3 linked regions of the Drosophila melanogaster genome follow. The protein of the gene in region 3 interacts with the protein of the main gene of each other region in a pairwise test. Each region holds a gene or a part of one and is shown on either strand. Other genes may lie near its edges. The genes, in order: sordd1, CG32486 and Ubc4.

Evidence for each region.
Region 1: the proteins of Ubc4 (region 3) and sordd1 interact in a two-hybrid assay, tested with the Drosophila melanogaster proteins (2 studies listed by BioGRID).
Region 2: the proteins of Ubc4 (region 3) and CG32486 interact in a two-hybrid assay, tested with the Drosophila melanogaster proteins (2 studies listed by BioGRID).

Annotation. Positions count from the first base shown.
Region 1 is NC_004354.4:15,789,101-15,800,179, forward strand, and holds sordd1 (suppression of retinal degeneration disease 1 upon overexpression 1), read right to left. Parts: upstream 6,929-11,079; 5' UTR 6,902-6,928; exon of another isoform or gene 6,710-6,901; intron 6,476-6,709; exon of another isoform or gene 6,387-6,475; intron 6,317-6,386; exon of another isoform or gene 6,061-6,316; intron 6,002-6,060; 5' UTR 5,963-6,001; coding exon 5,397-5,962; intron 5,334-5,396; coding exon 5,167-5,333; intron 5,102-5,166; coding exon 5,001-5,101; 3' UTR 4,621-5,000; downstream 1-4,620. Other genes in the region: Rhp (rhophilin), read left to right, coding at 1,190-1,288, 1,643-1,759, 1,879-2,006, 2,143-2,296, 2,362-2,802, 2,888-3,044, 3,110-3,357, 3,418-3,547 and 3 more; sordd2 (suppression of retinal degeneration disease 1 upon overexpression 2), read right to left, coding at 8,153-8,271, 8,337-8,503, 8,567-9,132; CG15602 (uncharacterized protein), read left to right, coding at 10,574-10,621, 10,693-10,937, 10,996-11,079.
Region 2 is NT_037436.4:3,065,573-3,076,538, reverse strand, and holds the start of CG32486 (uncharacterized protein), read left to right. Parts: upstream 1-5,699; 5' UTR 5,700-5,999; coding exon 6,000-6,377; intron 6,378-10,966.
Region 3 is NT_037436.4:9,692,660-9,703,384, reverse strand, and holds Ubc4 (ubiquitin conjugating enzyme 4), read right to left. Parts: upstream 5,050-10,725; 5' UTR 4,693-5,049; coding exon 4,630-4,692; intron 4,420-4,629; coding exon 4,267-4,419; intron 4,040-4,266; coding exon 3,656-4,039; 3' UTR 2,904-3,655; downstream 1-2,903. Other genes in the region: CG6761 (uncharacterized protein), read left to right, coding at 1-703, 755-1,694, 1,755-1,992, 2,046-2,271, 2,333-2,684; Prps (phosphoribosyl pyrophosphate synthetase), read left to right, coding at 8,153-8,189, 8,927-9,152. UniProt on the Drosophila melanogaster protein: Catalyzes the covalent attachment of ubiquitin to other proteins.

The sequences.
Region 1 (11,079 bases), on a different chromosome or scaffold from region 3:
TATGTGGATACGGTGAGCATTTGTGGGCAAACAAGTGTATTTCTCGGTTATTTGCTTCTTTTTTTGTCGAGTCCATCGAGCTTATAAAGTTGTAAGGCGTGTAAATATGTGTATAATAATTATGCCATAACATACCAGTAGTACAAAAGTATGCTACTGATGATGTGGAACAAGCACGGATTATCATAAATATATGCCATGGACTCTCTGGAATGCCAGTGTAAAATAGTGAAACCAGTGGCCAACCACATATTTGTCTACATCTATATCTATGTCTATGTGTATATATATATATATATATCCATATCTATGTCTATTCCTCCCCCTCCGATCGCGAGCAATCCGATAAAACACTGTATTTATGCTTTGCATTCTGCGATCTCATGAATACGTGAAATCAACATCGAAATCTCCAGCCAACCGACGTGCTTGCATGTGTGTATAGTTTAGTTGAAACAAAAAGAGAATTAACGACAAAACAACCGAATGGCAGTTAATTCCTATTGTTTTCGAGCGGCCTGTCCCAGAAATACAGTTCGATCACAAGCGTCATATCTCGGTGTCCCAGAATTCCAGTTCTTGGCACACACTTTTTATAGATATGAACTGACTTTTATGATCTTGACATGTTTAAGTCTTCGTTTATGCTCAAACCCTTTAATATTCGGACACTTTGTAAGTCTCTAATGTTCTATTAAATAATGCCATTGCAATCCAATGTGTTTATTCACGATATCTCAAGTTGAGTTTGCCCTGGAGCAGTGCCATGACGGTTATAATATGTTGATGTTTGGCGCTGCTTAAATGGCTCGCTCGAATCGAAAACCGTTAAGGCGATTGATGAGTTTGACCTCCTAAAGCTAAAAAAGAAGAAGAAATGCGGTTCTATCTTTAGCTACTCATGTTGTGCATACATACGAAAAACGAGCAGCTCGTGTTATAATAGTTAGTTACACCATTCATAACGCGACAACAAGTGCTGCATGGATTTTCATGATCTTGGTCTTGTCTTGAAGGTCGGAAGTCTATTATAGAACTCTCTATATGCGGTGTGGTGAATAGTTCGGTGGGGGGGGGGGGAGGTTGTATTGTTATTATTTCATCATTTACCCACAAATTGAAAAGTAATCCAGTGTTTATTGGCAGTCCTTTTGGATCATAATCATTTCGGATTTCGGATCTTTGAACCATGGATGAAAAGGAACACGAATTGTCGACGAGGGTGGTGAAAAACGAGGAGAACGAGGATGACGAGAAGCTCAATGAGTTATCCTTTTGTTTTGTTCGGGTAAGTGTAGAATAGCAATCTTATTTATTTATGTTTTTGCGCACTTAGCGATTCGAAAAATGTCAAGTGGTATTATTCATGTATATTGTAAAAGTATTATTATTTTCCATTGCAATTGTTATCACCTAAAACGCCATAAATGATTGTATCACCCAAAAGCTTTGTTATGGAATATTTGATTTTGAACACTGAGTCATAACTTTAAGGGATCGCTATCATGGCTAATGACGTTCAGGAATCCGCCAAATATCTCCACAATATAGATTTAAATTCGTATCTATATATATATATATTTATATATATATATATATATTTAGATACAATCGATATAATCATATAGCATCCTGTTTCCAGGGTTCAGATCCACGAGCTGCCACTTGTCGTAGCAAACTCCAAAACAGGCGATGCAAATTAAACAAAGAAATAAATAAGGAACTCCGCCTTCGAGCTGGTGCCGAGAATCTATATAAGGTGCGTTACCTTACCTTCCGTTATCACTCTGAACATACATATGTATGTCCATGCCAAAACTAAATGCATATCTTTATGTATATATATATATATATATATATATATATATATATATTTAGGCCACATCGAATCGCAAACTGCGCGACACAGTTGCCTTGGAATTAAGCTTTGTCAACTCAAATCTGCAACTGCTGAAGGAGCAACTGGCCGAGTTGAATTCGTCGGTGGAAATCTATCAGAGCGAAAGGTGAGCTAATAAGCCCGCTCCTAGGATAAGAAACTGGGTGGGAAGACCCACCACAAGGTCTAACTTTCAAGGAAGCAGGCAGTTACAAGGCATTCCTTTGATGGTATTATAATAATAATCCTCTAATACTCTCTAGTCACAATGGAATTATGCCCATGATACCGCTGGGCCTGAAGGAAACCAAGGAGATCAATTTCATGGAACCCTTCTCCGACTTCATCCTGGAACACTACAGCGAGGAGCCCTCGATGTACATAGATGCCATAGCTGATATGACGGACACGAGACAGGTAATGCCTCGTACATATATAAGAATTTTATGCACATATAATCCAATGCGAAAAATTTCTAATAGGCATCCAAAACACCGTCACGAGATGCCCTGGGAGTGGCCCTACTTTTCCGCTACTACAACACGCTGTATTACGTGGAGCGTCGCTTCTTTCCGCCGGATCGTAACCTGGGCGTGTACTTCGAGTGGTACGACTCGCTCACGGGAGTTCCCTCGTGCCAGCGGACCATCGCGTTCGAGAAAGCCTGCACCCTGTTCAATCTGGGCGGCATATATACACAGATCGGCGCTCGACACGATCGCACGACGGAACGGGGTCTTGACTTGGCCGTGGATAGTTTTTTACGGGCCGCCGGGGTCTTTCGTCACATCTACGATACGTTCACGAATGCACCATCGATGGACCTGAAGCCACAGGTCCTGGACGTGCTCGTTTCCCTGATGCTTTCCCAGGCACGAGAATGCCTCTTTGAGAAGCTTCAGCTGCAGATCGAGGCGATGAGCGTGAGTTTCCGTCAGCATATATAGTATATAGTATATAGTATATAGTATGTAGTTACATAATTTTACCATCTATATAACCATACAGCACGATTGCCAGGCGTTTCGGGATCTGGCTGGCGAGGCTGCTCAAATATCGCACGAGTACAATGAGATGCACAAGAATATCCAGGCGAACGATACGCACACCTATCTTCCGGAATGCTGGGCCGGTCTAGTGCCAGTCAAGGCGGAACTCTACAAAGGTAGAATTGGTTATCACCTCGAAATGGGAATATTCATTCTAAAGTATGATTGTAAACGCCAACAGCATTCGCACATTTCTACAAGGCACGGAGCATAGATGCGACAGACGAGCTGAAGGCATCAAAGTCAAGTCAAAAGAACCAAGAATCCTTCATCGGCAATTCCCAGGAGGTGGAGCGCATCACCACAGCCGATTATGGAGCCAGCGATGAGGCGTCCACCTCCATTGCCAACAAACTGGCCCACTTAAAGGAGGCGCTGGCCAGTATCGAGGAAGCCCAGCGATTGCAGCGGATGTGTCGGTTCTTGAAGGTAAATATACTTCTTATATCCTATAGCCTAATAACCTAACCTTTAACTTTAATCTTTAAGAACAAGGCATCACTGACTGAAGTCATGAAGGAGGTGCACTCCAAATCGCAGGAGGAGCTCGAGAAGTTCAGACTGCAAGCTTCAGCCAAAAATATCGAAGATGGCGATCTTCTAGAGCGATCGGTAGAAGGTACATATATCATACTCAAGATAAGCCGATGTCTTCATGTACATACATGCATCCATATCCTCAGCATCTTCGAAGTTCACGTTATCCCTGACCGGACCCGACTTCACATCGCACAAGGTTAAGGATCCCTTCAAGCGCCTCGGCCCGATTGCAATATTCTCGGCGAGACGCCACTGGACAGCGCCCAGATGTGTGCGTCTCCAGAAAGGTTCCTCCCTGTATCACAGCGTGCCCAGCAATGACAACAAGTGCCCATTGGATAACGATGATGACGAGGAGCACGATGGTGGATACAATCTGTACAAGGAGGAGTTTGAGAACTTTGGCTTCCATGTGCGCGGCGATGCTCCGGTGATCATTGCCCACGTTGAGATTAATTCTTTGGCAGACGTAAGTAAATGCTACTTCCATCGATTCGTCGTATACTGTAGGCATTATTTTCAGCTTGGCGGCATCAAGGAGGGAGACTTCATAGTCGAGATAGCCGGCGTGGACGTGAAGTGGTACTCCCATCAGCAGGTGGTGCAGCTCATACAATCCTGCGGCTCTACACTCGAGCTGAGAGTGATAACGCCCATGGATCGCAACTACTTGAAGGTGCATTTTGTTTATTAATCATACGTAAAAAATCAGCAAACAAATTCACCTTGTTTACGCACAGCCATTGTCGTCGAAGGGCTCATTATCAACGCTATCGGCGGCCAGTTCATCGGGCATTTCATCCGGATTTCCCAGTCCCACAAGTATTGCGGCCAAGCCCAAGCTCCACCTGAAAACATCCTCTAGTTCGCGACCCGCTGGCAGCGTTTCATCCAGTTCGTGGAATCCGTTTCGGCGAACGCCTAGCTTAGCTAAAATATTTTAAGTAGCCATCAGTTTTATTTTGTGTTTTATTTTTTTGCTCTTAAGGCAATGGCCATTTCAAGTTAAAAAGAATGTTGTGCAGTTTAAGTTAAGCAATAAACTTAATGATTTTTTAAAAGCCCCTCTATTATACCCATAATTTATTTTATTCCTATTGATTCAATCGCTCCCAATCACCCATCGATAATAATCTACACGGAAAATGAATTGAAATAAATGTTTTTAATGTTTTATCGAATTTAAAATATATATTTATACAATTTTTGACATCTACATTTGAATTAAATCATTACGATCCAATGATTTCGAAATTTCAGTTTTTTATGCTGGAGTCGTAGGGTATCGCGGACTTTTTGAAATAGTTTGGGATCCAATCCACTTCTGTTTTGCGAATCCTCAAATTACAATTATAACCGAATGCTAACAATTTATGTTAATTAATCACACCAACGACTATTGCCCAACGAGTTTAAGAATATTGTTGATTTAACTGGAGGATACTGCTATATGATTACTTCGCACGCTTTCCATACACATTTGAACATAGGTTCTTCTTATCGGGGTGATGTCTTTATGCGTTCGCAGATTGCTATGCATAGAACAGCCACAATATCCACACAACGGCCAAATACGAAAACAGCTTGGACAGGGTCTGTTCATCCTCGTATTGCCTTGTTCCCCGATTAGCAGCTAAATACATGGGCAAATGTTATTTAATATCAATCTCAGAACTATTGAGATGGCATGTAACCTACCAGGTGGACGTGGTTCGCCAAAGTTGAGCGTAGATGTTATGAACCCGAAAGGAAAAGCTCCAATACCGAAAGACATGTGAAATCCGTCGCCGAATCCGAATCCAGGGAACCCGGGAACAGGATCTGGTTCTGTACGTTGTCCAGCGGGGCGTGGTGGAACTTTGTTACTGCAAAACACATATAAGTTGGGTTATTGAAAAATACTCATGTTGAAAGCGGTTCAAACCTACCGTGGATCTTCCTGGTGTGTACTATTTCTTCCGTACAGCGGTATGACCTTATCCTTATCAACGGCAGCCTTACAAACGGGACAGAGTTTGCGATTGGGACGCGTCAGGAGCCACTGATGCAGGCACGGCCAGCAGAACAGATGGCCGCACATGCTGACCACAGCATCCTTGGCGGTGTCCAGGCATATGTTGCACTCGTAGAGTGAGTCGTCTGCGGTATGTTCCTTCTCCTTGTCCTTTTCGTTGGCTTTTGTGTCCGTATCGGTGCCGCCGAATGGATAGCCACCCTTCAGATCGGCCTTATTGCCACCAGATAGATAGTCTCCAGTAAAGGAATACGAAGTGTTGGACTTCTTCAGTTCCGATGCCGTCGAATTGGTTGGAATCGAGGTACCCAGCGGGCGCAATTGACTTGTAGATGACTCCTCAGCCAAGGGTTCTGTGATATCCCGAGTCCAGGCTATCTTGTCGTAGCTCACGTTGTTGGACAAAGTCGATGAGGACGACGATGCCCCGGTTGATGTGCTGGGAAGCTCCGCTGTGGGTACACTTTTCGGTTCCTCCATGGTTTGCCCAAGATGCGGGTAAAGTTTTAGTCGTTCAAGCTGCAACGTAACGTTGGATGATTTAGAAACCCAAATTTGCTAAGTAAGTCTGTGTTCACCCTATTGACAAGTGCCTAGATTGCTTAGATGATTTTCCTAGGCCATTTCTGGTGTACAACTAAGGTCCGCACTTTCTTGAATATGACTTAATTTAATTAAATACTTCAAGCGCAGTTTGAAGGGGGTTTCCCCCGAGTTCCGCAGCATTCAGCATTTGTCCGACCCCATGGGGTGGTGTTTATGGCTACGAAAACCGCCCAAAGGGCGTATTTACCACCAAGTCTTCAAGGATAATGCACCGAACATTCCCATTGGCTGCACCCACATAAATTAAACAAAAAAGTCAAATTTTGTTTGAATTGCGTTGGCAAACAAGACGGTATACCTGCATATGTACCTGGACTTATGTGCGTACTTATGTACACATCTACACACTCAAACACTCGCGTGTATATAGGGCTAGAAGGTTTCCATCTACCTGTTACATATGTACATTGGAACCGATTATATGCTTATTTATACAGTACGTATAGATGTCAAAGATGTCACATGATGTTTTCATGGAGCACTTCCTATTGGAGTCAAGGGGAATTATATGCTCATATACATCGAGTTCCAGGGATTGCGTTTAAACGCATTATAACTTAATTAAACTATATATAACTTCCTGGGGCACAGCAAATAGTATAACTTCTCGAAATTACATACATTGTAAGTGTATTGTTTGCAAAACCTGACTTGTTTGCCCTCATTTTATTGTTTGTTTTCGCTCACAGTTTGCTTCTACTTGCCGTGCTAAGTATTGTTAAACCGAATCAGAGAATGTTGCTAAATTGATTGTGTGGACAAGTGTGTTATGTTACGGTAAAATTGGGAATTTATCAATTGACGTCTTAGCACCTCAAAACAACTGCACTGACGATACCTGACCGAGGCCGATAGACCTTTACCCTATCGGTAAATAGCTGCCTGTATAACAGCCCGTCTCCACCGGACCAAAGTCCACGCTCGCGTTCGATAACTATCGAGTTAGGTGAAAAATCTCGGATCTCAATGAATCCTTTGAAAAGTGATCAGTGATCAGTCCTCGATTGATTTGTAAACAAAATAAACTACTAAATACATTTACAAGACTAAATACTATTCATAAGCAGCTGTTGTGTGCCATGGACAATCGATAGCAGGACTCACTCGACTATCTCTAGTTCCTAACGATCTGGTCACAACAAAGGTCAAGAATTCAATAATTTTATTGATATTAGACTAAACCAAAACAAGGAACAGCTGATTTGTACAACGCTAATGCATCTATAAACGTTTAAGTCGTAATCGATAGCTCACCCACTGTGCAGAAATCACGTGACCATCCCTAATTAGAACTGGCTTCTTTCAAAACAAAGCAAACGAAATTTAAAACTTTTTCAATTTATATGTTCCATTGGTGACTCTGGTTGCAGTGAGCTTCTTGGCACGGAGCAGAATCCTTTATCGGCAATTCCCAGGAGGTGGAGCGCATCACCACAGCCAATTATGGAGCCAGTGATGAGGCGTCCCCCTCCATTGCCAACAAACTGGCCCACTTAAAGGAGGCGATCTTCTAGAGCGATCGGTAGAAGGTACATATATCATACATCTCATACTCAAGATAAGCCGATATCTTCATGTACATACATGCATCCATATCCTCAGCATCTTCGAAATTCACGTTATCCCTGATCCCTAAAAAGAATGTTGTGCAGTTTAAGTTAAGCAAAAACTTAATGATTTTTTTCACCCATCGATAATAATCTACACGGAAAATAAATTAAAATAAATGTTTTTAATGTTTTATAGAATTTAAAATATAAATTTATACAATTTTTGAAATCTACATTTGAATTAAATCATTACGATCCAATTATTTCGAAATTTCAGTTTTTTATGCTGAAGTCGTAGGGTATTGCAGACTTTTTGAAATAATTTGGGACCCAATCCACTTCTGTTTTGCGAATCCTCAAATTACAATTATAACCGAATGCTAACAATTTATGTTAATTAATCACACCAACGACTATAGCCCAACGAGTTTAACAATATTGTTGATTTAACTGGAGGATACTGCTATTTGATTACTTCGCACGCTTTCCATTGACATTTGAATATAGGTTCTTCTTATCGGGATGATCCGTGCACTATTGGAACGAGCAGCCCATATATCACAAAAACGACAAAATGCCAGAACAGTTTTGACAGGGCCCAGGGTTCATCTTCGTGTAGCCTTCTAATATCAGCTAAATACATGGGCAAATGTTATTTAATGTCAATCTCAGAACTATTGAGATGGCATGTAACCTACCAGGTGGACGTGGTTCGAAAAAGTTGAGCCTAGATGTTATGAACCCGAAAGGAAAAGCTCCAATACCGAAAGACATGTGAAATCCGTCGCCGAATCCGAATCCAGGGAACCCGGGAACAGGATCTGGTTCTGTACGTTGTCCAGCGGGGCGTGGTGGAACTTTGTTACTGCAAAACACATATAAGTTGGGTTATTGAAAAATACTCATGTTGAAAGCGGTTCAAACCTACCGTGGATCTTCCTGGTGTGTACTATTTCTTCCGTACAGCGGTATGACCTTATCCTTATCAACGGCAGCCTTACAAACGGGACAGAGTTTGCGATTGGGACGCGTCAGGAGCCACTGATGCAGGCACGGCCAGCAGAACAGATGGCCGCACATGCTGACCACAGCATCCTTGGCGGTGTCCAGGCATATGTTGCACTCGTAGAGTGAGTCGTCTGCGGTATGTTCCTTCTCCTTGTCCTTTTCGTTGGCTTTTGTGTCCGTATCGGTGCCGCCGAATGGATAGCCACCCTTCAGATCGGCCTTATTGCCACCAGATAGATAGTCTCCAGTAAAGGAATACGAAGTGTTGGACTTCTTCAGTTCCGATGCCGTCGAATTGGTTGGAATCGAGGTACCCAGCGGGCGCAATTGACTTGTAGATGACTCCTCAGCCAAGGGTTCTGTGATATCCCGAGTCCAGGCTATCTTGTCGTAGCTCACGTTGTTGGACAAAGTCGATGAGGACGACGATGCCCCGGTTGATGTGCTGGGAAGCTCCGCTGTGGATACACTTTTCGGTTCCTCCATGGTTTGCCCAAGATGCGGGTAAAGTTTTAGTCGTTCAAGCTGCAACGTAACGTTGGATGATTTAGAAACCCAAATTTGCTAAGTAAGTCTGTGTTCACCCTATTGACAAGTGCCTAGATTGCTTAGATGATTTTCCTAGGCCATTTCTGGTGTACAACTAAGGTCCGCACTTTCTTGAATATGACTTAATTTAATTAAATACTTCAAGCGCAGTTTGAAGGGGGTTTCCCCCGAGTTCCGCAGCATTCAGCATTTGTCCGACCCCATGGGGTGGTGTTTATGGCTACGAAAACCGCCCAAAGGGCGTATTTACCACCAAGTCTTCAAGGATAATGCACCGAACATTCCCATTGGCTGCACCCACATAAATTAAACAAAAAAGTCAAATTTTGTTTGAATTGCGTTGGCAAACAAGACGGTATACCTGCATATGTACCTGGACTTATGTGCGTACTTATGTACACATCTACACACTCAAACACTCGCGTGTATATAGGGCTAGAAGGTTTCCATCTACCTGTTACATATGTACATTGGAACCGATTATATGCTTATTTATACAGTACGTATAGATGTCACATAATGTTTTCATGGAGCACTTCCTATTGGAGTCAAGGGGAATTATATGCTCATATACATCGAGTTCCAGGGATTGCGTTTAAACGCATTATAACTTAATTAAACTATATATAACTTCCTGTGGCACAGCAAATAGTATAACTTCTCAAAATTACTTACATTGTAAGTGTATTGTTTGCAAAACCTGACTTGTTTGCCCTCATTTTATTGTTTGTTTTCGCTCACTGTTTGCTTCTACTTGCCGTGCTAAGTATTGTTAAACCGAATCAGAGAATGTTGCTAAATTGATTGTGTGGACAAGTCAATCAATTGACGTCTTAGCACCTCAAAACAATTGCACTGACGATACCTGACCGAGGCCGATAGACCTTTACCCTATCGGTAAATAGCTGCCTGTATAACAGCCCGTCTCCACCGGACCAAAGTCCACGCTCGCGTTAGATAACTATCGAGTTAGGTGAAAAATCTCGGATCTCAATGAATCATTTGAAAAGTGATCAGTGATCAGTCCTCGATTGATTTGTAAACAAAATAAACTACTAAATACATTTACAAGACTAAATACTATTCATTAACAGCTGTTGTGTGCCATGGACAATCGATACCAGGACTCACTCGACTATCTCTAGTTCCTAACGATCTGGTCACAACAAAGCTCAAGAATTTAATAATATTGATATTAGACTAAACCAAAACAAGGAACAGCTGATTTTTAGAACGCTAATGCGTTTAAGTCGTAATCGATAGCTCACCCACTGTACACTGTACACCATCCCTAATTAGAACTGGCTTCTTTCAAAACAAAGCAAACGAAATTTGAAACTTTTTCAATTTATATGTTCCATTGGTGACTCTGGTTGCAATGAGCTGCTTTGGCTGCGGTCGCAAATATGGCCTATTCTGCAAGGAGGCAAGTGCCATCAAACCAAAGCAAACCAACATATATCACCTACTTACATTGTGTTAAATCCGAAATTTTAGTATGGATGCCCCAACTGCGGCTACTCATTCTGCTCCAAGTGCTTGAAGAGACCAATGCCCGTGCCCCGTCATGCAGGAAAGGTGCACAATGTGTGCCTCATATGCTACGACAAACTATCCAAACTCCAGGCGAGCGCCGATGCCGAGAAAGTTATAGACTGTGATGCTTTGCCGGGGATCTTAGTCACCAAAATGAACCTGGCTCCTCCATCCAAAAGTTCAGATGGCGCCGATGCCCTATTCAAGTAAGTAAAATACCACATTAAAACACCGATTCTGAAACTATAATTCGATTAATTGCAGCGACAGCCTGCCTGTGGAGGAGCTGCCACAGGCATTGGTTCCCAGTTCCAGTTCGTCACCACATTCCAAAGATCACAAGGATCA
Region 2 (10,966 bases), 6.6 Mb from region 3:
ATATCCATTAAAAGTAAGAGTTTTGCTTTATTTTTATGTTATAAAATAAATTAATGACTGTTTTGTGCTGCTTTTGATTTGTTCTTATCGCCTATCACCAATCGATTGGTGACGAGCTCAATTCTCCTCATGCAATTTAACTTTAATTCTAACCAGGAATTAATGAATTTTCCATCGTGACTTGATAGCGCATTCTTAAAAACAATGACACGCGAAGTGAGTCATGTCGCGCGAAAAAAGCTGACTAACTAAAAATAAACCTGGTGGGTTAATAATAAAAGATGCCAAGCCCCATTCTATCATTCCAAAGAGCCCCTCCATAATTGATACAACTAAATTTAGCGGCGTAAACAAAGGCTGTGAGAAAAGCACCGAATGAACGGAACGGGGAGCGCTGATGGAAAAGTTATTCGCAGGCAATTTCCGTGAAATGTTGTAAACAAATAGGCGAAGAGCGGGCTTCCTGTCGCGGCAGACAGAAAATCCGAGAGTAATCAATCGATAGTTATGTTTTTTTATTCCAGCATCTATAGTTAGCTCCCGCACACTTTTCCCAATGTTTTCGATACACTTTTCATGTCTCGTGCACTTGTCGCACAATAAAAAGCGGAAGAACAAAAGCAAAAACCTTTTTCGAATCGTTAGGCAGTAAAAAAGTTGATAGAAATAAAATTAAGCCCGGCTCGATATTTATTTCTTTTTGTTTATGTTTTTTTTTTTTGCACAGATGAATCGACGGTCGGCAGAAAGGGGGGGCTTTTAGTTGGTGCGTCAATAAAGTTGAGCGAAAATATTTGCACAGCGTTCAACCGACGAACAAACGAGGCGCTTTCCTTTTGTTCTTCGCTGTTTTATGGCTCATAAACAAAGGCCCAAATTGAATGTTTGGCGATTGAAGCCCAGAGAGCTGGAAGGAACTGGCCAACAGCTGGTCTGGAGACCCCATTAAAGATGGCCATACACACAGAACCAGTTGCTCGCCACTTTTTCATGGCAGACGAAACGTTCTAACGGCACGAAAAGGCTTAAATAATGGTCACAAATCATGAAGTAAGACGATTCATAATACCCATAACTGTCCGGTATTACGTATAAAATATGATTTTTGGGGGCTTAAATGCAAAATGTGGACATCTTTGGAAGTTCACTTTGCTTTAATTTTTATGCCACATTTAAAATCACAAGAAAAAGATCATGATATCCTGTTTAAATGTAATTTGATGCTTTTCCTGTATTCATGTGGACTTTTCCGGTTTCTGGCAAGGTGTTTCCATCCGCTTTTGGCCAAAAAATTAAAACACATAAACAGAGAGACTGCCGAGCTGAAGATCTCCAATTTCGTCTGAGCCTCTCTTGTTTACGCTCGGCCCAATCGGCCCAAAACAAAGGAGGGACAAGCGAAGATGGAAGGAGCGAGTTGGTAAACCAGTTTTCCACCGCACTCGACCAGAACGGACGCCGTCGGAAAAGGAAGCGGAGAAGAAGGAGTGAGTGGCAGGGCCATCAACAGGTAACCCAGTGCACCTACAGGCCACGCAGCACCATCCAGAAGTAACCAGCGCCATCATATTGTACCATTGTCCATCCTATCAGCATCATCGTATCACCAAAGTCAATGTGTTTCCGTCAGCTGCCGTTGGCCTCAGCTCAGCAGGCCAGAAAGCCAGAAAGCCAGATGAACCGAAAGCTCGAAAGGAGCTGCCATTGTTGATAGCGCTGTAATTCTGGTTCGCTGTTGTTTTGATCGGTCTGAATTTTGGGCTCTGCAAACGGGTTTGCGAGTGCATTCATTCAGCCCAGCCAACCCCCTCTGCCACCTATTACCAATTTACTTAGACTGCTTGGTTGTTGTTATACCCTTTCTTGTAATTCGGAGATTTTAACTTGGCTAAGATGGCTTAAAGCCATCTAGCTTAATCCTTCGATCCCAAATTGGTATTGCTACCGCTTTTTATTATTCGTGCAAATTATTTTTATTGAGAAATGTGAAACAGAATCTACTTGGTAAAGAATGATTGTGAAAAACACCCTGAATGTCCTAGGACATCCTGTACAATATCCTTTCGACGATCAAATATTTATGGTATAATGGGATAATATGTTAATGTTACACTGTACAAAGTCACCCTAAAGAGAGTATCCCAAGCTTCAGTGCCCGTTGGAAAGCAGCCTTTGTGCTGGTCTCATTGTTTTGGCTCTGGTTTTGGCAAAGGGCAGGGAAGCGAGGAAGTGGTTTTTCCTGCCGTACCTGTATGAGTTTCCCTGTCTCGGCCTCTCTATGACCATCTCTTTCGCAGGACAAAGAAAATGCATGAGGAGAATGCAGAGTGTGTGGAACTTGTTCCTGATCCCAGAGGGGTTGCAAGGAGCAGTAAATGGGAATCTGAGCGTTTCCAGGAATAACAAAACGATAATCGATGGTATTGCAGCGAGGAATGTACGTAATTAAAGGGAAGTGTATAGATTGTTTTGGGGCAGATTGATTATGCCAAGATTCTCTGTTCTAGGCCGCTACTCCATCCCGTCCCTATCCCTCTCTCTCTCACTCTCGCATTCTCTGCCTACTTATCTCCTTCGCCTCCTTTGTTCCTCGGTCACGTCCATGTAATTGCCAATAATCACAATATGCGCTTCGGTAGGAAAATTCAATTTACATGCCGCCAGTGGAGAGAAAAAACAAGAGAGGCGCAGAATTGAATTACAGGATGACCCCGGTGAGAACGCTTATGAAATATGCCAAAGGTGACTTTCAATTAAATGCCACCCAGCCAGAGGCGTGCGAAGGATTTAAAAAGGGGCAGATAAAATAACGTACTAACCGATCAATATAAGAAAGCTGATCTATGATTAATCACTGAGTTAAGCTCATAAACATACCAATTTTATTATTACAATCATAGAATAACTATGTATATGAACAACTTGTTTGATGGGGGGGTCATTTCACCCCGCCAACCCCTCTCCAATACGCTCCTGCCACCAGCTGTGGTTCTGCTCTTACGTTCCCTGTCTTTGCTTGTGTTTGATTTCCTTTGCTTTTCTGGCTTTGTTTTTGCTTACCTGCCGGGAAGAAATTGTTCAAGAACGTTGACATTTTTCTCTTTCGCTCCCGCCTTCGCCAATTCCTCGTGCGCTCTCTTTCTTTTCGTGGTCCTTCTCGTTTCGTTACGCTTTGTTTTTGCGTTTGTTTTCGTTTTAATGTGCACTGAGTTAAAAACTTTTTCTTGGTTTTTTCGTTTTGTTTTCGATTTTTTTGTAGTTCTTTTTAATAATTTTGTAGAAAATATTGAAACAAAAATTTAAATAATACATACAATCCGCGCTTAACTGCTAAGTTTCAAATAACACATTTTCACATTGTACGTTTCGAAAATATTTTTTTCTTTCACTTTTTCACGTAAGTTTCTTGCAGTTGAAATGCATTTTCGGGCAAATGATTAACAATTGAGGCGCGTCGACTGTAAAAAGCGAGAAAGAGAAGAACATTGAATTAAAATAAGTAACGGTAAGCGAAAAACAGTTGTTTGTTTTTGCAAAACGGGGCGACAAAATGAAATCCCGAAACGCAACAGTGAGTGGGAGTGAGAGGGCGGTATAGCTTGGATTTCATTAAATTTTCCAAAGTGAGTCTGTGTGGGTGTACGAGGACGCTTTTTCCTACACATATACAGACACAATTGCGCGCATATTTGCTTACGTTTTCCACACTTTTTTTCATTTCGCACTTGGTTACTCATATTTTTAGAGTTTTATATTTAACACCATCCAAAATACATACACACTGAACCTAAGCCAACATATTGTGTAGTTAATTGCCTGTTTCATTGTTAGCTTTTGAATTGCTTTCAGTACCGTAATTACTTTAATGAGGATATTTCCTTGAAAGGAGCTGCTGTTGCTATATTGTATACATTTTCATTACCATTTTCCAACGATTTTGCAAATAAGAAAAACGCAACACACACACCGCGCGATTGGCGCTGCACGAATGAAGAAAACGCAAAGAAGATCCAACAGCCAAGCCAAATGGAGTCCACAAACGACCCCCGAGTGTTGTATACATGTACGTCCGTCTGTGTGTGTGTGTGCACAGGAGGTCGGATAAAAACAACAACTGCCAGCTGTGTGTGCAACAAAGTGGATGTGGATTCCATTCGAGGAGTGTTGGGAAAACATCCGCGCTCAAGGGGTTACATGGACTTTAGCTATTGTTAATAATTTTAATTAACATATATATCATTTTATGCAAAGAAATTTAACAGATTGTATAAAGTCCCTCATGTTTTTCAGCTGATAAATGCTGGATATGAAATACGTATTCTTTCAAAGAGAAATCCTTTGACACGCTACTGAAGTTCCATTATTGAATATAATGTAATAAAATAACTTTTAAAAATGGCGAAACCCCTTTATGGTATTGTAACACTTCACCTTCAAGTGGCCAGGACGTTTTGCAGAAACCCTAGCAATTGGCGTTGTTATACACACATGCATATATACACAAAATAAATACATATACATATGTAAGTTTTTGGCTGGGGGGAGTTCAACAGGACCCAACAGCTGGCCACAGGTTGCGTTCCACATAGAGAAATGTGGGAGCCTGGGCTCCAAACGCGATCCACACTCCAGCCATATTTGTGGAACGCGACAAACAGCTGGCTAGGAAAAGGGGAAGAGGACGCAAAGGGGAAGGGAACGAAAAGAAGGGGAAGAGAAAAAGCAGGAGCAAAGGAAATAAGAACACATATGTATACGATTTGTTTTTTGAGTGGGAACAGCTGGAAATAATTAACTAAGTTCACTAAGCAAGCCAAAAGCCAATTTATAAGTGTAGTTTTGTTACAACGTTTTTGGAAATATTTTTATTTTAATTTTCAAAAATTTTCATAATAATTGCACGTGAATTAAAAGTCAATTCATTAAGTTTTTATTTTCATTAAAGTTTTTAATTCACCACCGAAAATGAAATTGAAGCCATCTTGGTCACCAAATTTTTAAGACGCAATTTGTCCAAATGGTTCTTATAACGCAAGCCAGATAGCAAATACGTATAGTTTTTTGTTCAACACGCCAACGATTTGTTTTTGTTATTTTTCAAATTGATGCCGCTGTTGCACACACACACACAAACACAAAAAATGCCAAACACACAGCGCACAGCGAAGTGATACAAAAATGTCTGCTGAGAAAACTGCGATTTTTCGCTCTTTAATCCACGTTTTCCGTACCTCCACTGACCAGTCATAGTTCACTTTGCGAGAGGTGACTTCATAAAGAACCTGCCGTTTGTGTTTTGTCAAACTTTTGTACATTTTAAAGACAAAATCACAATATTTAATTTCTTACATGTTTTCCGTTTGCCGCAAGCAGTGTGACCGCATCTCGCGAGTGACGAGTTCCGTACTGCCGGATATAAGGGCAGCACATTAAACACGAATGGATTCGTTTTCAATAATATACTTGTAAAATTATATATATGAAGGCAGATTTTGCTATATTATTTTAATGCTATTTTATTTTGAAATGGTTAATTTAATAATATTTGTTATTTTATTACTTTGTAAAGGGGATGGTGTCCCTGCTAACGATCAACCAGGGCTGGAGAAACACAGACAATAGAAAAACATCGATAGGCTTTGCCAATAACATCGATACGTTATACTAGTATTTTGCCTAATATAAGATTTGGTCACACCGCACAACACTCTCTAGAAAGACAACAAATTTTTTGGCGAGCGGACGTGTCGGCGGACAAAAAGCTTGCAAACAGAACAGAACGGAAGAACACAGAAGAGAACGACACGACACGGACAGCGGGGAAAGGTGGCAATTGAAAGAAAGTGCCATACTTAGTGTGCGAGCGAAAGAGAGAGAGAGCAAACTGGGTATTGCTTGTGTGTGTGTAGTAGTTTAGTGGTCGTGTGTGTGGGAGTTTGTGTACGAAGCGAGTGGCAAAGAAAAACACAACAAACATTATTCCAAGAAAATTTCCAATCATGTCGGTGGAATCCTCCAGTTCGGCGGTCCAACAGCCGCCGTCGTCCTCGAACCTACCGCTCCTGGGCGACAACCAGGCGGTGGCCACGACCAGCTCCGCCTCCTCGGCCTCTTCCTCTTCCACATCGTCGTCCTCCTCGTCGGTGGGCGGCGGCAATGTGGTGGGCGTGCCGCTGGACACGCAGGGCAGCGGAGAACCGCCGGCCAAGAAACAGTTGTTGGACGGAGGGGGCGGTGGTGCCACCAGCAGCAGCGGCAGCAGCTTGCTTTCCAGTGCCGCAGCCGCCTCGGGAATGCACGAAAAGCTGGCCCACCGCATCTCCAATGCCCTGTGCTGTGCCGTCTGCCTGGATTTGCCCAAGACGGCCATGTACCAGGTGAGTTTTTGGATTATTTACAGCGGCTTGAACTATAAGCCCTTGTAAACTAGAATCAAAAAAAGGAAGTAAGAGCTTTAAAAGCGAAAGAAGAAAAACAGCAAGTGCGCGTGTGTGTGTGCGCCTCATTCTGTATACAAACAAATCGTGGCAGCTCAGCTGTAAGAGTAAAACACCTCTCTCCCTCTCTCCACCCTAGCAAGACACAGCTGTGCGAGAGCGAGACGTCTAGCTGGGGCGCTCTTGCATTATTCGCCTTGAAAACATTGAAAGAGTGCGAGGGGGAGCGAGGGCGGGAGTTAAGTCCGTGATCGAGGGTGGAGCCTTTTGTGAAGATATGATGTGTAAATGTATGAAGGTTTTTAAGTTTCAGCAGATAGTTGTAGTGTGAAGATTTCCAATAAAGAATACGACTGACTTTCTTGAAGTTCAAAATCAGTATGAAGTTTATTGTCAGAGAGTGGCTACTCGAGTCCTCCGTTTTCGTCTTATACATAAGTACATAGGTTCTTAATTGTAAGCATAATGAACATGCCGACTCGGCATGTGGCTGGCTAGCTGGGGACAATGTTGCAGTGCGACTTTTGTGTAATGTCAGCATTCGGCCGGAATGTCAGCATTCGGCCGGATGCGGTGTTCCAGTTGCCGTCTTCCCGGTTGAGTGTCCGATGATTTGTTTAGAGGCGTGGGGGTTTAGGGGGTGGGGTGGTAACTCCTCCCCCCCCAGTTCGAAGTGACGGCCATAGCGAAGGTATGGATGACGCGTAGATTGGTACGTGATGATCCTCGTGGATGTGGACGATGTGTTTCGTTCGTCGGTGCAGCCATAAGATGACTGCTAGGAACGTTACCAATCCGAGCAGAGTGTAGAGTGTCCAGGTGTGCTGTATAGTATTGTGATGGACGGCCAGGATTTTATCCATTGTTTGGGTGGCTTCGAGGTGCAGTTTTTCTAGGCTTAGTACCGTAATAGTGGTATTCCTAGTTACTTTTCGCATGGGGGGAAGATCAAAATCCGTCTGTTCAGGGAACGTGTCAACCGTGCCGTCGTAATCGATACCGTTAATCTGTATTGTTTCGTTAATGTATCTGATGATGGCTGACCCCATTATTGAGAGCTCGGAGCCGTTTGTTAGGGATACCTTCAGTTTGTTCACGTTGAATGCGAAGATGTAACCTCTCTCTGCCTCGAACACGTCGGTGATGGGGCCGGTTTCCCGTACATCGCAGGAACTGTTTTCTCCGTTCAAAAGGTGTTCCAGGCATGTGTTGTTCTGTGGTGTATCAACGTAGAAGTTCTCGTCGCACAAGAATGTATTATCCAGTTTGGGGCATTTACGGGTCATATGAAATTTCTTATTATTAATATTATAAGCTAGGTAATTTGGGGTTATTACAAAATATGTGTTATTTATTGGTAATGGAACTAGTCTGGCGAGGGTATGAAAAGGTTGTTTAAAAATTGGGACTTTGATATTAAAAATAATCTTTTGTTCGTAATTTAGTGTATTCATTTGTAGGAAATTGTATATACTTTGTTCATTTTTGACTGTGATATTTTGTTTTTCCAGTATTGTTTTTATTTTATCCATTTCTTGTTCATTTAGGATGAACTTGGGAATTATATTTATTTTCGCCAATAGCATACTTTCTGTTATGTCGTTTAGGTGGTTAATGAATAATTCTATGTTATAATTAATCCTATTTAAATATTGTATTTCTTCCAGAAGGGTATCTTGTAAGTTTAAGTGTTTGTATATTTTGTTTTGTGAGGTATCAAAGAATTTACTTATCAAAATTTGTTCATTATTTATATGGTCCGTGATATTTTCGAACCGGATAAGTATTTCGTTGTTAAACATTACTTGTTTTTGGAGATTGTCGTTACTGACTTCGGAATTTTTCTTTATATTGTCAAGTTCTTCATGTATTTCTTTATTGTCGTTGGCATCCATGTTGCCGGTAACCACCTTTACTAGACTCCCCAATCCGTTAATCAAACCCCGTTTGTTTCTATATGAAGGTGTAAGGGCTTTGAGCTTTACTTGGGCTTGGGTTAATTTGGTTTTTAAAATTGTGACGGAGTCCGTCAACGTGGAATCGGGGTTAAATTTATTAATGGTCAGATGGAATTGTTCCATACATCTGCTGTAGTCTTGTAGGTTGATTACATGACTAATTATTTTGTACCTCTCAATTAGTAAGGCTTTCCCTAGTTCTATCTTGGCTATAGGGGCGTTATCATTTAAATAATGGACATGGATAGCCTGAGTTGGCACAAGGGTGAACCTGAAATGGTAAGTTAAGAGGTAGTGGGGTCAGTTATTATCAGTGTTGGGTACGTTGTTGCTTTTGTCTTTTTTCAAAACTGTTTTTCGAATTTTTGATTTGTGTAGTTTTTGATTCCTAGCAGTTATCAATGTATGACCTTTGTCGTGTTTGACTTTGTGAATCGAAAACCTGGGTGTAATCTTATTACGTCTGTTTTCCTTCCTAAGGACTAAAGTGTCTGGTTGTAGGTCTACGGGGTCTGTTCGGGTTTCATTTAATTTTAGGGTTCTCCTAACTACGTCATTTGAAAGTTTGTCCGTGATGAGGGGGTACAACTTCTCGCGAAATTCATTTAATTTCGTTAAGTAGTCGTGTTCGTTATTGAACTGGATTGTTTGGTTGAATATATGAGTACGTCCGTTAAATAGTTCAAAGGGGGTATGTTTAGTTGCAGAATGAATAGCGTTATTATATGTGATTAGGGTTTCGGACATTATCTCGTCATGCTCGCTACTGAGTTTCTGTTGTTTCCTGACGTCAAGTATTATTCTGTAAATCTCAGTTAGTGTCGAGTGAAGCCGTTCAACGGGAGAGTTACTAGAGGATTGTTGAAAGGACGTAACGTGTAGGTCAATGTTAAATTGAGTGCAGAACTTATTGAACATATCGCTAGCGAATTCTGCTCCCTGATCATAGATCAGCTTTTTGGGAATACCAAATTGGGAAATGAAATGTTTTAAGGCTTTAACTACGTTAATGCAATTCCTATTAGTTATAGGGTAGGCAGCCGCAAATTTAGAAAATTTATCGATAATAGTAAGGTTATAATTTTTGTTAATAGTATAAATGTCTATATGTAAGATGTCCAACGGTTTTGAAGGTAGTTCGGATATTTGGTAAGTGATCTTTTGAGGTTGTCTGTCGTATTTTAATTTTAAACATGTTTCACATTTTCGAATTAACTGAGTTATTCTCTCCTTCATATGTGGGAAGAACTGTTGTCGTTTTATGTGTAAATATGTTTCATCGATCCCTCGATGGTTACTATTATAGTGATAGTCGGTTATAATTTTTTCGATCTCCGTACTATCAGTAATTTCGGGGAGGAAGATCAAACATCTAATGAGTTTAAATTGACTGTGGGCTGAGAAGTAGGTTTGGTAGGCTTGTTCCACCATTTGAAAAATGTGGTCGGGGGCAAATACCGCGCATGTCTTGTTTGGTTTTAACGACTGCCTAAGAATGCAAACTACGTCGTCATACTGAAAATTGGGTTTACAGAATTCCCTCCTAAGTTTGTGTTTAAACGGGGTCAGTGTGGCGTTATTTGTATCTGGGGTTATTTTGAACAGGAGCTGAATATTAAAATCATTAAGGGGTTTCTCTGAGATGGGGCAAACATTTTGAGGAATTGATAGGGCTTCGTTATGGTTGACAGAGGCCTCTGGTCTACTGAGAGCATCAGCAATTACATTTTGAGAGCCTTTCTTGTAGACGACTTCGAAATCGTACTCCTGAAGCTGGAGTCTCCACCTAACTATTTTAGAATTTGGTTGTTTGAAATTCATTAACCAAGTTAGTGGTTTGTGATCGGTGATTATAGTGAATCTCCTGCCAAAGAGGTAGGGTCTGAAGTATTGGACCGCCCATATAATGGCCAGCATTTCCTTCTCAATTGTGGAATAATTTGTTTCCGCAGCCGACAAGGTTCTACTAGCAAAACATACGGGCCTATCACTATGCACCGGACCTTGGGATAGGACAGCTCCTATTGCGAAATTACTTGCGTCCGTGGTTAGTGTGAAAGGTTTTGTAAAGTCCGGGTATTGGAGGATTGGGTCGTTAGACAGTAAGGTTTTGCAATATTCAAAGGCCTTTTTGAATTCATCATCTATTATGATCGATTTATTGTTTCCCCTTAATTTTTGTGTCATGGGTTGGGTAAGTCTCGCAAAATCTCTGATAAATTTTCTGTAATATCCCAACAAGCCTAGGAAAGACTTAATTGACTTTTTACTGTGGGGACATGGAAAGTTTTTTATAGCTTCGATCTTATTGGGATTTGGCCTAACACCTTCTTGTGAAACGATGTGGCCAAGGAATTCTGTCTCCCGCCTGAGGAAGTAGGATTTTGTGAGTTGGACTTTAAAGTTGGCAGATCTGAGTCTTCCAAAAATAGTTTTCAAGTGTATGAAGTGTTCTTGTAAGGAGGTTGAGAAAATTATTATATCATCTAGGTAAACTAGGCAGATAGTTCCGATAAGGTCTCCAAAAATATTGTCCATCACCCTTTGGAATGTGGCTGGGGCATTTTTGAG
Region 3 (10,725 bases):
TACCGCCGATGGAGGGCAGTGCGGTGTCAACCAAGAGAGCTACCAAGAAGGACGAGTTCGACTTTGCCGAACTGGCGGACAATCCACTGGTCAACGAGCTCCTGGGACTGCGACGACCCTCGAGGAGCTCCAACGAGAGTCGCTCTAGTTTGCTACAGGATGCGAAATCCAGTACATTGCGCTCGGGGCACAGCCACCACGGCCGCTCTTCCCGTCCAGAGTCGACCTATCGGGGATTGCATCCCAAGCTTGGCGAGCAACTGGATGCGGCCATTAATGAGGGAGTTCTGGACTCTGTTCTGTCCTTTATATGCCCGGTCCCAATGCCCACACAACTCCAGAATGGCAAAACTAAGCCCAAGCAGCTGCAGCCTCCGAAAGAGCTTCTCACCCAGACATCGGCCACTACCACTCCCTATACGAATCCCATTCCAGCGGCAGCTCCTCTCACCTCGGGAGCATCGAAATCCATGATGGAGATAGGCCACTCACATGGGCCTCTGCCGGCAGCCACTCCCTCGGCTCCTTGCCTGCAGCAGGCTCATCCCGGAGGAGATGCTCTACATTCGGATCAGATCACCAACAGCATGGTGCGGGCTATGATTAAGGAGCCGATTCCGAAGCCTGGTGCAATGAACGCCGGCAGACGCAAATCTCTGCTGCTGGTCAAGGATAGCAAACATGCCAGGCAGGAGCGAAAGGAGTAAGTACCATGTATTTACAGGATATATATGTAACTCAAATTGTTTAACAGGCCGGAAGTGGTGATCCACGTCTGCGACGAGGTGAAGAACACCTCGAAGGACTTCACCTGCCCGCAGCATTTGCTGGTGACCAAAATGGGTTACTTTGCGGACGTGACTGCCGGTCAGAGATTGGAGGAGATGGACATATCGGTGCACTGCGACATCCTTATCTTCGATTGGCTGATGAAGTGGATCAAGCACAGTGCCCAAAGCCAGGATCTTCCGGTTCCCACTCAGAGCACCGGTCCCCAGTTGGATGGCAACAATGTGGTGCCCATTCTGGTGTCGGCCAGCTTTCTGCAGATGGAACCTCTACTCCTTGAGTGTTTGGCCTTTTGTCATGCCCATCTCAGCGAAGTTGTACGAACATCCACGAATCTGTCCTGTCTGAATGATGCATTGGTCAGCCGACTGGCGGCCATGTTCACGAATCTCGAGCTGGAAATGGTCAGGGATAAAAAGGAGCGAGTGACACCACGTCTGTGGACCAAATTGATTCAGTCCCTCTGCGAACCGGATCCGGAAGCGCTAAGGGGACACTTCTACAGCATGTCCGGTCTGTTCCGTTGCTCCAGGTGCTTCAATTGCGTGACCAACACTATGAAATCCTATGTGAGCTGTGTGCCCAGCAACATTCGACTGAATCGCTGGGGCCAATTGATGAGCCACCACGTGCGGGACACGAACTGGGATCTTAATGTCTACATCGTTCAGCTCTTCAAGGAGCTCAAGTCTTGGCGCAAGGTGTACTGGAAGTTATGGGGTCACTGCCATTACCTGTACTGCTGCTCGTGCGAGGCTCATTTTCCGGTCTATCAGATGCACTGGTGTCGCTTCCATCCGGAGGCACCCAACTTCCTCGGTCCCGTGGGCAATGCTGGACCCGCCGGCCGCTTCTCCTGCTGCGGTCAGCAGGCATTCCGCTACGAAACGCTGCCGGGACCAAATGTATGTATATATATTTCCAGAAACTAATACTACTGCATTGAATATTCGTTACTTTTTTAGGGCTGCCAATTTCGCGAGCACAGTGTCCTGGTGGAGACGGATAGGGAGCGTGCCATCCTGGCCATTGCTCAGTTGGTGGGCGAGAACTACGCCTTGTGCGAGCAGCCACCATTGAGGATTCAGGAATTGGCCGCCGCCGGCGAGATCAGTCCCAGTTGGCAGGGTATCTCCCTAACGCCACAAAGATGTCGCCAGGGACTTTTGCCCCAACTCTGCATGGACAGTGTGCTCAAGAGAGGTGGGTATGTGTGCTTGAAGGTAATGTGCTCCGTACTCAACCCTGCTCCATAGTGACCAACCATCGTGTGAGCCGTCGGATGCGAGGATCTCGCTATCAAATGGACACCAGCACCGATTCGGAGACGACGTCCACCAGCGAGGATGATGCTCGATGCCTGCGGCCACGCATGCGTAACGTTCACGATGACGACGAGGACTACAGTACGAGTAGCGATGGCTGCGAGTCGGAGCATCGTCCTCCACCAAGGAAAACTAGAGGCAAAAAATCACGAAAGCGGTAAGGATTTTGAAATATTGAATGTATATGAAATAATAATTACCTGGAACTGTTTGGCCAGTCCCACCGATGTGTCGGGTCGTTTTTGGTCCGGCGAGTTGTCAGCGCGCAGCAACCAGGATCATCAGCGCGACTTCGAGGAGAAGATCATGAAACAGGTCGCCAATTATGTGACCAAAAAGACCGGAACGGATCAGTGTCTGGTGCAGAATGCCCAACCGCTTGGTGGCTCCTACGTGCGACTCGAGTCCGAATGGAAGGAGATGCTCAAGCAACGTCACAGCCATCACACGATCCAGGGAACCAATGCCACTGGCACATCCGTGGCTCAAAGCAACAGCAGCTGCCTGGGATCCGCACTTGCAACTGGTGGCTCCTCCGTGTCCGTCATGTCCAAGCAAAAGCACAAGTAGAAATTCGTATTATATGTGTGAAGTCATTAACTTATTGGATTCGCCAGCAAGCATCGTAGACCAAATATTTAGTGACAGATTATTAGTCAAATATTTAGTGCAAACCATAAATATTCACATTGAAATGTAGAAAAATTAAATGAATATGTAGAAGAATATATATATAAATGATTATATCTGGATGATATCGATGGGTTCTATTTTACTTTCACGTTTTGTGCAATTATTTGGTTTGTAAATCACCAAGAATTTGGATTTTATTTCAATTTTGGCATTAGACAGAGCCTTAAAAAATGGATTAAACAAGAATTATAGTAATATACATTACATATCTCAATCAATCTAGGGTAAATTACATTTTCCATTCTTCAGTCTAGGCATGATTTACAAAAATCTATTTTAAGTTTGCAGCCTCTTCTTCACAAACCGAAATCATAACTTCTCATTAGACATTTATTAATATTTTTATTTATTTATTTATTAACTTAACGCAATTTACAAAGACTTCGATTTGTTATACACTCCTCGCCTTCACATTTATTTTGTTTTGTAAATCATTTTTGTTTGTGTTTTAGTTTAAGCTTGAAATGGAAAACAACAGTACTGTTTAAGAAAGAGCCTGCAAGTAAATGCGACTGCACGTAAATTAATGAAACAGAACCTGGGTTCAATTACATAACACCACATGCTCAATGGGGCGCGGGCATGGCCTTTGGCTCAACCTTCTGGTGACCCACCCAGCGGCAAAGATGTGCACATTAATCATAATAAAATTATAGAACAGATCAGAGAATTATTATAACTACAGGGCAATGTAATTTCGTGGATAAGATTTACGAAAATATATTGGTGCGTGAGTGTACAAGAATTTAGCGTGATTGCCGTTCTGAAGGATTGATGCTGAAGTTGGCCGGTGTTCTTGGTGCTGCCACCGCCGCGAATGGTACTGATGCTAGTGCGGCTGGGACAAGCTAACTGAACAGGCCCTCGGTGGCCTTCTCCAAATTCCAATTCTCCTTGGAGAGCACGGCGCGCGCCTCATGCTCGTCGATGCCCATGTCCCTGAGACGTTGGATCTTTGAATCACAATCGGGAAAGGTGTGCGGTCCGCCCGCATACGCGTTGGTCCAGTGCTTGGCCGTAAGCAGGAACAGATCGTACTTGTCCTTAAACTGATAGGCCACCACTGCGTCCTGTGGATCGTCCGGCTCTGCGGCGGCCAGGAGCGCCTGCAGCGACAGCAGTACGGTGCGCAGTGTCATCGCTGCAGCCCAGTTGTCCTTTAAGATGTCCAAGCAAATCGCACCCGTAACCGACGATATATTCGGATGCCAGATGCGCGTTATGAAGCGTACCTGCGAAGAAGTTTGCAATTTATTTAGGTTTCAATTACAAGTTACAGGTTCTTATTGCGCCTTTCAGAATTCAAGTTAACATTGTGGATTCATAGAAGTGTCACTTTCTACGAAGTGAAGTCATAAGATACGATTTTTGAAAGATGAGGTGTACTCATGTAAGAGTTGTTTATTTCTAAGCTAGCATATTGTATAGGTGCACAAAGTCTGACATGGCTATTACGTACCTTTGGTGGATTGAAGGGATATGTCTCGGGCACCTTGATCTCCAGGACGAACTTGCCGCCCTCGTAGGGCGTGTCAGGCGGACCGGCGATCTCGCCGCGCAGCTCCGTCCAACTGTCATTGACCAGTTCGATTTTGATGGAACACTGGACGATCTGTTCAGGGATTACAAGCCAAATTAACAAATCAGTGGGGCCAATGTTTACATTTCACAAAGAAAACGGAGCCCATAAGCGCGCCAAAAACGCCACCAACGTTCGCGGACACCCTCCCCCGCCCCCTGCACCACGACCAGGGGCGGTGGTGCAGCTGGCATTGCCGAGGTGCCGTTTGAGTGTCCTTCGGCCTTGGAGCTCGGGACTCACCTCCTCGCTGCGCATCACCTCCTTGAACTCCCGCTTGATCCGCGACACTGCCATGTTCGCCATGATGTTTCCTCCGTTTCTCGGACTCTCCTTTCTGCTCTCTCCCTGTTCCCTGTTCACCGTTCTCCTTTCTCCGCCGCTCCTCTTCACCACGCTCTTCTTGCTGTGTTCTGTTCTGCCTCTGTTTTTATTGTTGCCCCCCCGTGCAATTTTGGATTTTGTGAGTGTTGTGCGTTGCGTAAATTACGCCTGGCTGTTGGCCTACAAGGTTGCTCCTTTCGATCGCTTTTCGAATTGTCGAAGCAACGAGCTCGACCAGCGCACGGAAAATAAAAAACTTATTATTCCAATTTCAACACGAATCTGACTTTTTACAGCGCTCAGCACGTCTATTTTGCCAGCGCTATTTCTTTTTTGTTTTTCCGTAGTGTGACCGCCGCGGTGCATTCGGATAATTCTGAAAGCTCGCCTATCGATTGACGTATCGATAGGGCTTCGGGGAAAGAGCGCGAAAATTGCTAACGAAGTTCGAATGTTCAAATGTTTAGCATATGAATAAATAACTATTACATAGGGACGTAATGAATTGGTGCTACTTGCTGCGAGCCATATATTGCCTAGATACGCCCTTAATACTACCCAGGTACACCCACTTCACTCAACTCATAACTATTTAATCATATTAAAACCTATTAAACATTTTAAGGAGGAGTCTTCTTCTTAACATTGGTCCTCCAATTATGTCCACTGGATGACATGATGACTTTGTTTCCCTGAAGGCGACATATCAGAATCTGGGAATCTTAACCGACACATTTTCCTAACTCGTTTCGATAATACAAATGAAAAGAAACAAAAGCAAAATCTACATAAAAATAACCATATTTACAAACTACTTTCCTAATAAATTCAGCTAAGCCCCATACACGAAGTACTCATTCTTACCTCTTTGTTGATAAAATCTATTTACGTTACAATGATTGGCTGAATCAATTCCAAAGTTGGTTTTTGTACCATTGGATAAAAAAGCCGCAGCTTTTCCTTGGCACACGTCAAAGGTTATTTTCCATTGCGTCTCTGATCTTGAATACTGAATACATGGCCTTATTATATAATCGAAGTTCTTTTGACCTCAGTAATATGGTTCCATTACGCTCGCCCGCCTTGTCTGCGGTCGGAAATTTGAAACTTGTTTTGCGCCCCATAAACAAAAACAAGAAGTTTAATCTTCTAAGGCGTAGGTCTCTCTTGGCAACAGTCCAAAAATAATAGACAGCCATTAATTATGCGCCATACGATCCTGTGTTTATAATGGTTATACTTGGAAAAGGGGTACACGAAGTGTTACTTTATTCACATTGCAATTTTAAATCAATATGAGAGAACTTTACCTAAAAAATTTTTAAGTGATAAACAATTAAGTGGATTACATTTTCAGCAAACTCTTATTAATAAGTTGAATGTTAACAAAATAAAAATATGATCAAAAAAATTAGAGGGCATATTTCATACCTGAAAAATCATTAAAGTCGACATTCTCTTTTACTGCTCAAATTCACGTTTCGCACAGCTCAATGGCGATCGAGAAAAAAACGTGTCAGCAAAAGCGTGTGGGGAAGTTTTGAGAGCCAACGCAACAACAGTTTTCGGATAAGAAATATACCCAATAGACATTCGGAGACTAATTAAAACGGAAGAGCTTCTTGCTTCTCCAACTCTTTGGACACACGTGTTTGTGCTCCCCTTTTGTGGCGCTCTTTCGCCACAAAACAAAACGAGTGACCGACACAAACAAATATGCCGGTTCTCTTTTACTCTCCCCGATATTCCCTTTCGAAGCATATGTATTATGACTGTGTGAAGAGGGATGCGTTTCCTACCCCATAAAATAACCAGATAACCAAAAGATACATTTATTGTCTTGTAACGTAAGGGTATCCATGCTTCAGCTTGATTAAATCAACTCTCCTCTGCGTTATCTCTTGCTCTCTCGCACCAAACAACTCCATAAACAGAAACTCAACTTCCCTCGCTTAAATTCAATTCAAAAGCGTTCTGATTCATTCAGCTTTTGCATTTTCTGAGCAGCGGCTGCATCCAAGTGAAATCACAAAGTACAAGTTTTTTTCGACCAACTTGTACAAACCGCATCGTTCAGTGATTAATAGTTTGTAGTTTAAAAGTAATTGCGACACTTTGCTACCTCACATGTTTCAAGTAAGTCCAGTATGGTGTACTACTCGATTTTGAAGTGTGCGTGCCTTTGTTTTCGCCTCGACTCAAAACATGCGTCGCATTCGGCACGTGGTTTTTGCCCCACCAACCCGCTATCCACGGCTCCATTATTCCTGTACTTGCAATGCCATTTGCGTCAGTTTTTAGGGATAAAACACGGAGAAGAGTACGTCAGCATTTGGCATTAGTTCATTTATATTTAGCCATGGGCACGAAAATAACAATTTAACAAATCGCAGTGTTTTTCTGCCGCGTTCGTTTGTTCAGCATCCCAGGTACAGTTGCACAAACAACAAGAAAACATCTCGGGGGCAACAAAAGCAAAGACGAGCCCCCGTGAAATGAAAAAGCAAGAACTGTACCTCGGATTTGAGATCTAGAAAACAAAACATTTCTGCTGGTATGTACAAAGTACATAGCAGAGATATTTGCAGAGCAACAATTATCCAGAACCAATTGAAAGCGGCATACAGCACAGATACACAGACAAAAAATAAATTTCTAAGTATGTGCACAAAAAGAGCCGCATGCATATAGGTTTTAAAAGTGGGAAACGCAGCATTAAATGTTTATTATTGTCTCAGATATTTAGGGTTTTTTTATGTTATTATGAATAGGAAAATATATTGACAGTCTTATGGGGCCTTGGAAATTTATTACCCATTGAAATATATATGAAACAATTTTATTGCATATCTGTGTGTTATTAAGAAATTACTGAGTTGTGCAGATGTAATGAAACTAAGCCGCAATTTTGTCTTACTTTAGAAATGAGGTCTGTGATTATTTTATAAAAAAAATTAATACTTATTATTGAAATTTTCGCTCTGTGTGACGTTTTACATATCTAAAATTGCAACATGACGTATTAAAAATTCTATGGAAATTACCTATCGAAAACAGCTGATTCCGAAAAAGAGAGGAAAAGTGCGTCCCGAAAGCTTTTCCTTGTGGCATCAACTTAACTGCGCATCATCCCATCCTTGGCGCTCTCTTGCGCTCTCTCGTAAAATATGGGTGTGTGTGTGTGTGGGCAGCCGGTGCGTATGTGTAATAGAAGCATACGCCATGTTGTACGGCGCTCAGTTCCATTCGCTCGCTCAATTTCGCCAGATGCGGCGCTCTGCGGCTGCTAATCCCAATCTCCCATTGTCGCTGAAACAGTGCACTTTTCACCTTACCTGGCGCAGAACAGCTGAGTGCGTCTTGTTATTAAACGGGTTGTTCAATCAAATAGTCGGCGCTTACCTGTCGCAGAACCTTCATCTCGGGATTTGTTTTGTGAATAATGCCCGATAAGAAATGCACGGAGAACGAGCAGAATGGTGCGTAGATTATATCCTAGAATTCACATTCCTTTCATTTCTGTCCGCGTGTGTGTGTGTGGTGCTAGGTTTTCATGGCCAACTGAGGGACATCCGTGGAACAGCTGTTTACCTCAGCCTTAAAAGCTTTTTTTTTGGCGCGCGCCTGTTGGCATGCCAGCATATTTTATATGTTAAAAGAAAACTCATAGATTTTACGGGTGTGACAACAAGCTGTTTATCTATCGAATATAATCAGTGTCAATTTGCAATTTATATTTATTCTTTTTCATGTTCATATGTAAATTTAATAGCAAACCGAGCCAAAATATTATAAATATAAAATTATTTGCAATGAAATAGGTAAATCCTTGCTTTTTGAAAGGCTAATATTGTAATAGTGCAATCCCATTAACTTGTTTAGATTTATACTGAGAAACACACTAGGAAATTCGAATTGATTAATGAAAATATTTAAAATTATAAAAACCTATCGCACCGCTTTAGTAGTCCGGAATCGAAATCGATAGCTTTCCAGTTCCCTGGAGAACGCGTAGAAAAATCACATGGTCTGGATGGGAATGGGGGATAATTGGGGTGGCTTTACAGAAAGAGCGAGCGAAAGAGAGCGCAGTGCGCAGCAAAAAGCTTCGTTGCTCTCTTTTACGCTCTTGCTTTCTCACCGATAAGGCGACGACGTCGACGTCGCTGCCCGCGTTTTGGCGAAAAAAATTTATAATAAAAACTTCTACTCATAGATTGTGTGATGCCAGTTCGCTCTGCTAATCCGATACGCGCTAGAAGTTTGATCCGAGACAATTTGGAGAAACAGGCTGGTTGTCTAAATTTAATCCACTCCAGAATGCCGAACATCAAAGTGTTTTCGGGCACCTCGCATCCGGATTTGGCCCAGCGGATAGTCGATCGCCTGGGAATCGATCTCGGCAAGGTGGTTACGAAGAAGTTCAGCAACTTGGAGACCTGGTGAGTAGTCCTGCAGGAGAATTTCCTTCGCAAATTGCGTGTGTGACCACCAACAAGTGTTTAACGACAACGGACAAATGTGTTTTTAAAGTGCGCTAATTGAGTTTGACGAAAAAGTGTTTGGTCTGCAAACACATGTGCTCAAAAGGTCCTTGACATTCGCTGAAGGTTGCTGGCGTTTCGCTGCCACAATCAACAATGGGAATCTATGGGAATTTGTGATTACCTAAAACTGAATGATTTTTCCTGAATTTTTGTGGCCTGCCTTTGGCTTGATTTCTTTTTATTTTTATTGATTTAACAAGTGGACTGTACACCGTCTTTGTCGCTATAGCCGTGCGTCTGTGTGTTTGTGTGTGTTTAGTGGCGTTGTGCTGGTATGAGTGAGAGTAACACACACACCAACATACACGTGAAGCTTGGCCAATGTCGCGTGCAATTTTCACAAAATTTAAATTAAATTTTTTTAAATCTTCCTAGACAAGAAATGCAAAGAAACCGAAAATGATTTTTATTATATATTTTTAATTAAATTAGCAGCTGTGTGTGCGTGTGTGTGTATGTCTAAACTTGCGGCTTGCACGCTTTTTGCTTCCCTCTCTCTCGCACGCACTCACACAGGCGCAAAACCAGCCAGTCAGCTGCTGATGCAACAACAACAATAAATAACAAATAAAGGCGCCCATAGTTTTTACCCCACCCACTAGCAAGCACCCTTTTCAGTTTATTTGGTGTCAACTTTCCATCGGTTTTTTCCAATTTTAATAAAATTAAACAAAAGCCCCATAAGCAAACAATTAGAGGAGGTGAAAAGGTGAAAGAAACAAACGAGGCAAACGGAAGAAAACCGAAACGAAAATAGAGGTTATAATACGCGCTAAGCTTTCTGACATGATACGCGCTCCGTCGGTGTGCGTGTGTTTTTGTTATGCTCGCACTCACTCGCACGCACACCAAGGTACGCGGCAGCGGAAAGAACTAAAGGCGGAGCAGAGTCGAGGCTAGGATGCCCTGTTCCAGGTGTTATGCTGTACAAGGTAATAGGAGTCGTGTCAACTTACAATTGTTTACAGTCTGATTTCTTATAGCTTGATATTTTATGATCCTAAGAACCAATTGAAGAAAGTACGACGTTCGACGAATAAATCGTAATAAATATTTTGTGAAAAAAGTTTCTTGGTTATAGAGTTAGACATAGTCTTATCTCTAAAAATGCATTATTTTCCAGGTTCCAGTTTTTAACTTTCTAATAATTCTTTACCATTACCGAAAGTTGAGACCCAATTTGGCTTACTCGCTTTTATAGTCGACATACCCGACTAAAGGAGGGTACCAAATGCCTGCGAGTAGAGAACCACAACATGACTCTGTCACGTTTTTCATTTGCTGACTGAACGGAGAGTAAGAGAACGCTCTCTTAGGGTGAGAGCGAAAGGGGAGCTTGAGCGCCACACAAGAGTCGGCATACGTTGCAACGTCGACTGCGGCAGCGACGCCCCCGCATGGTGGGCATTTGGACTCTCTTTGGAGCCCATTCTCCCGCTCTCTCTCTCTTGCTCTCAGACTAAGTGTC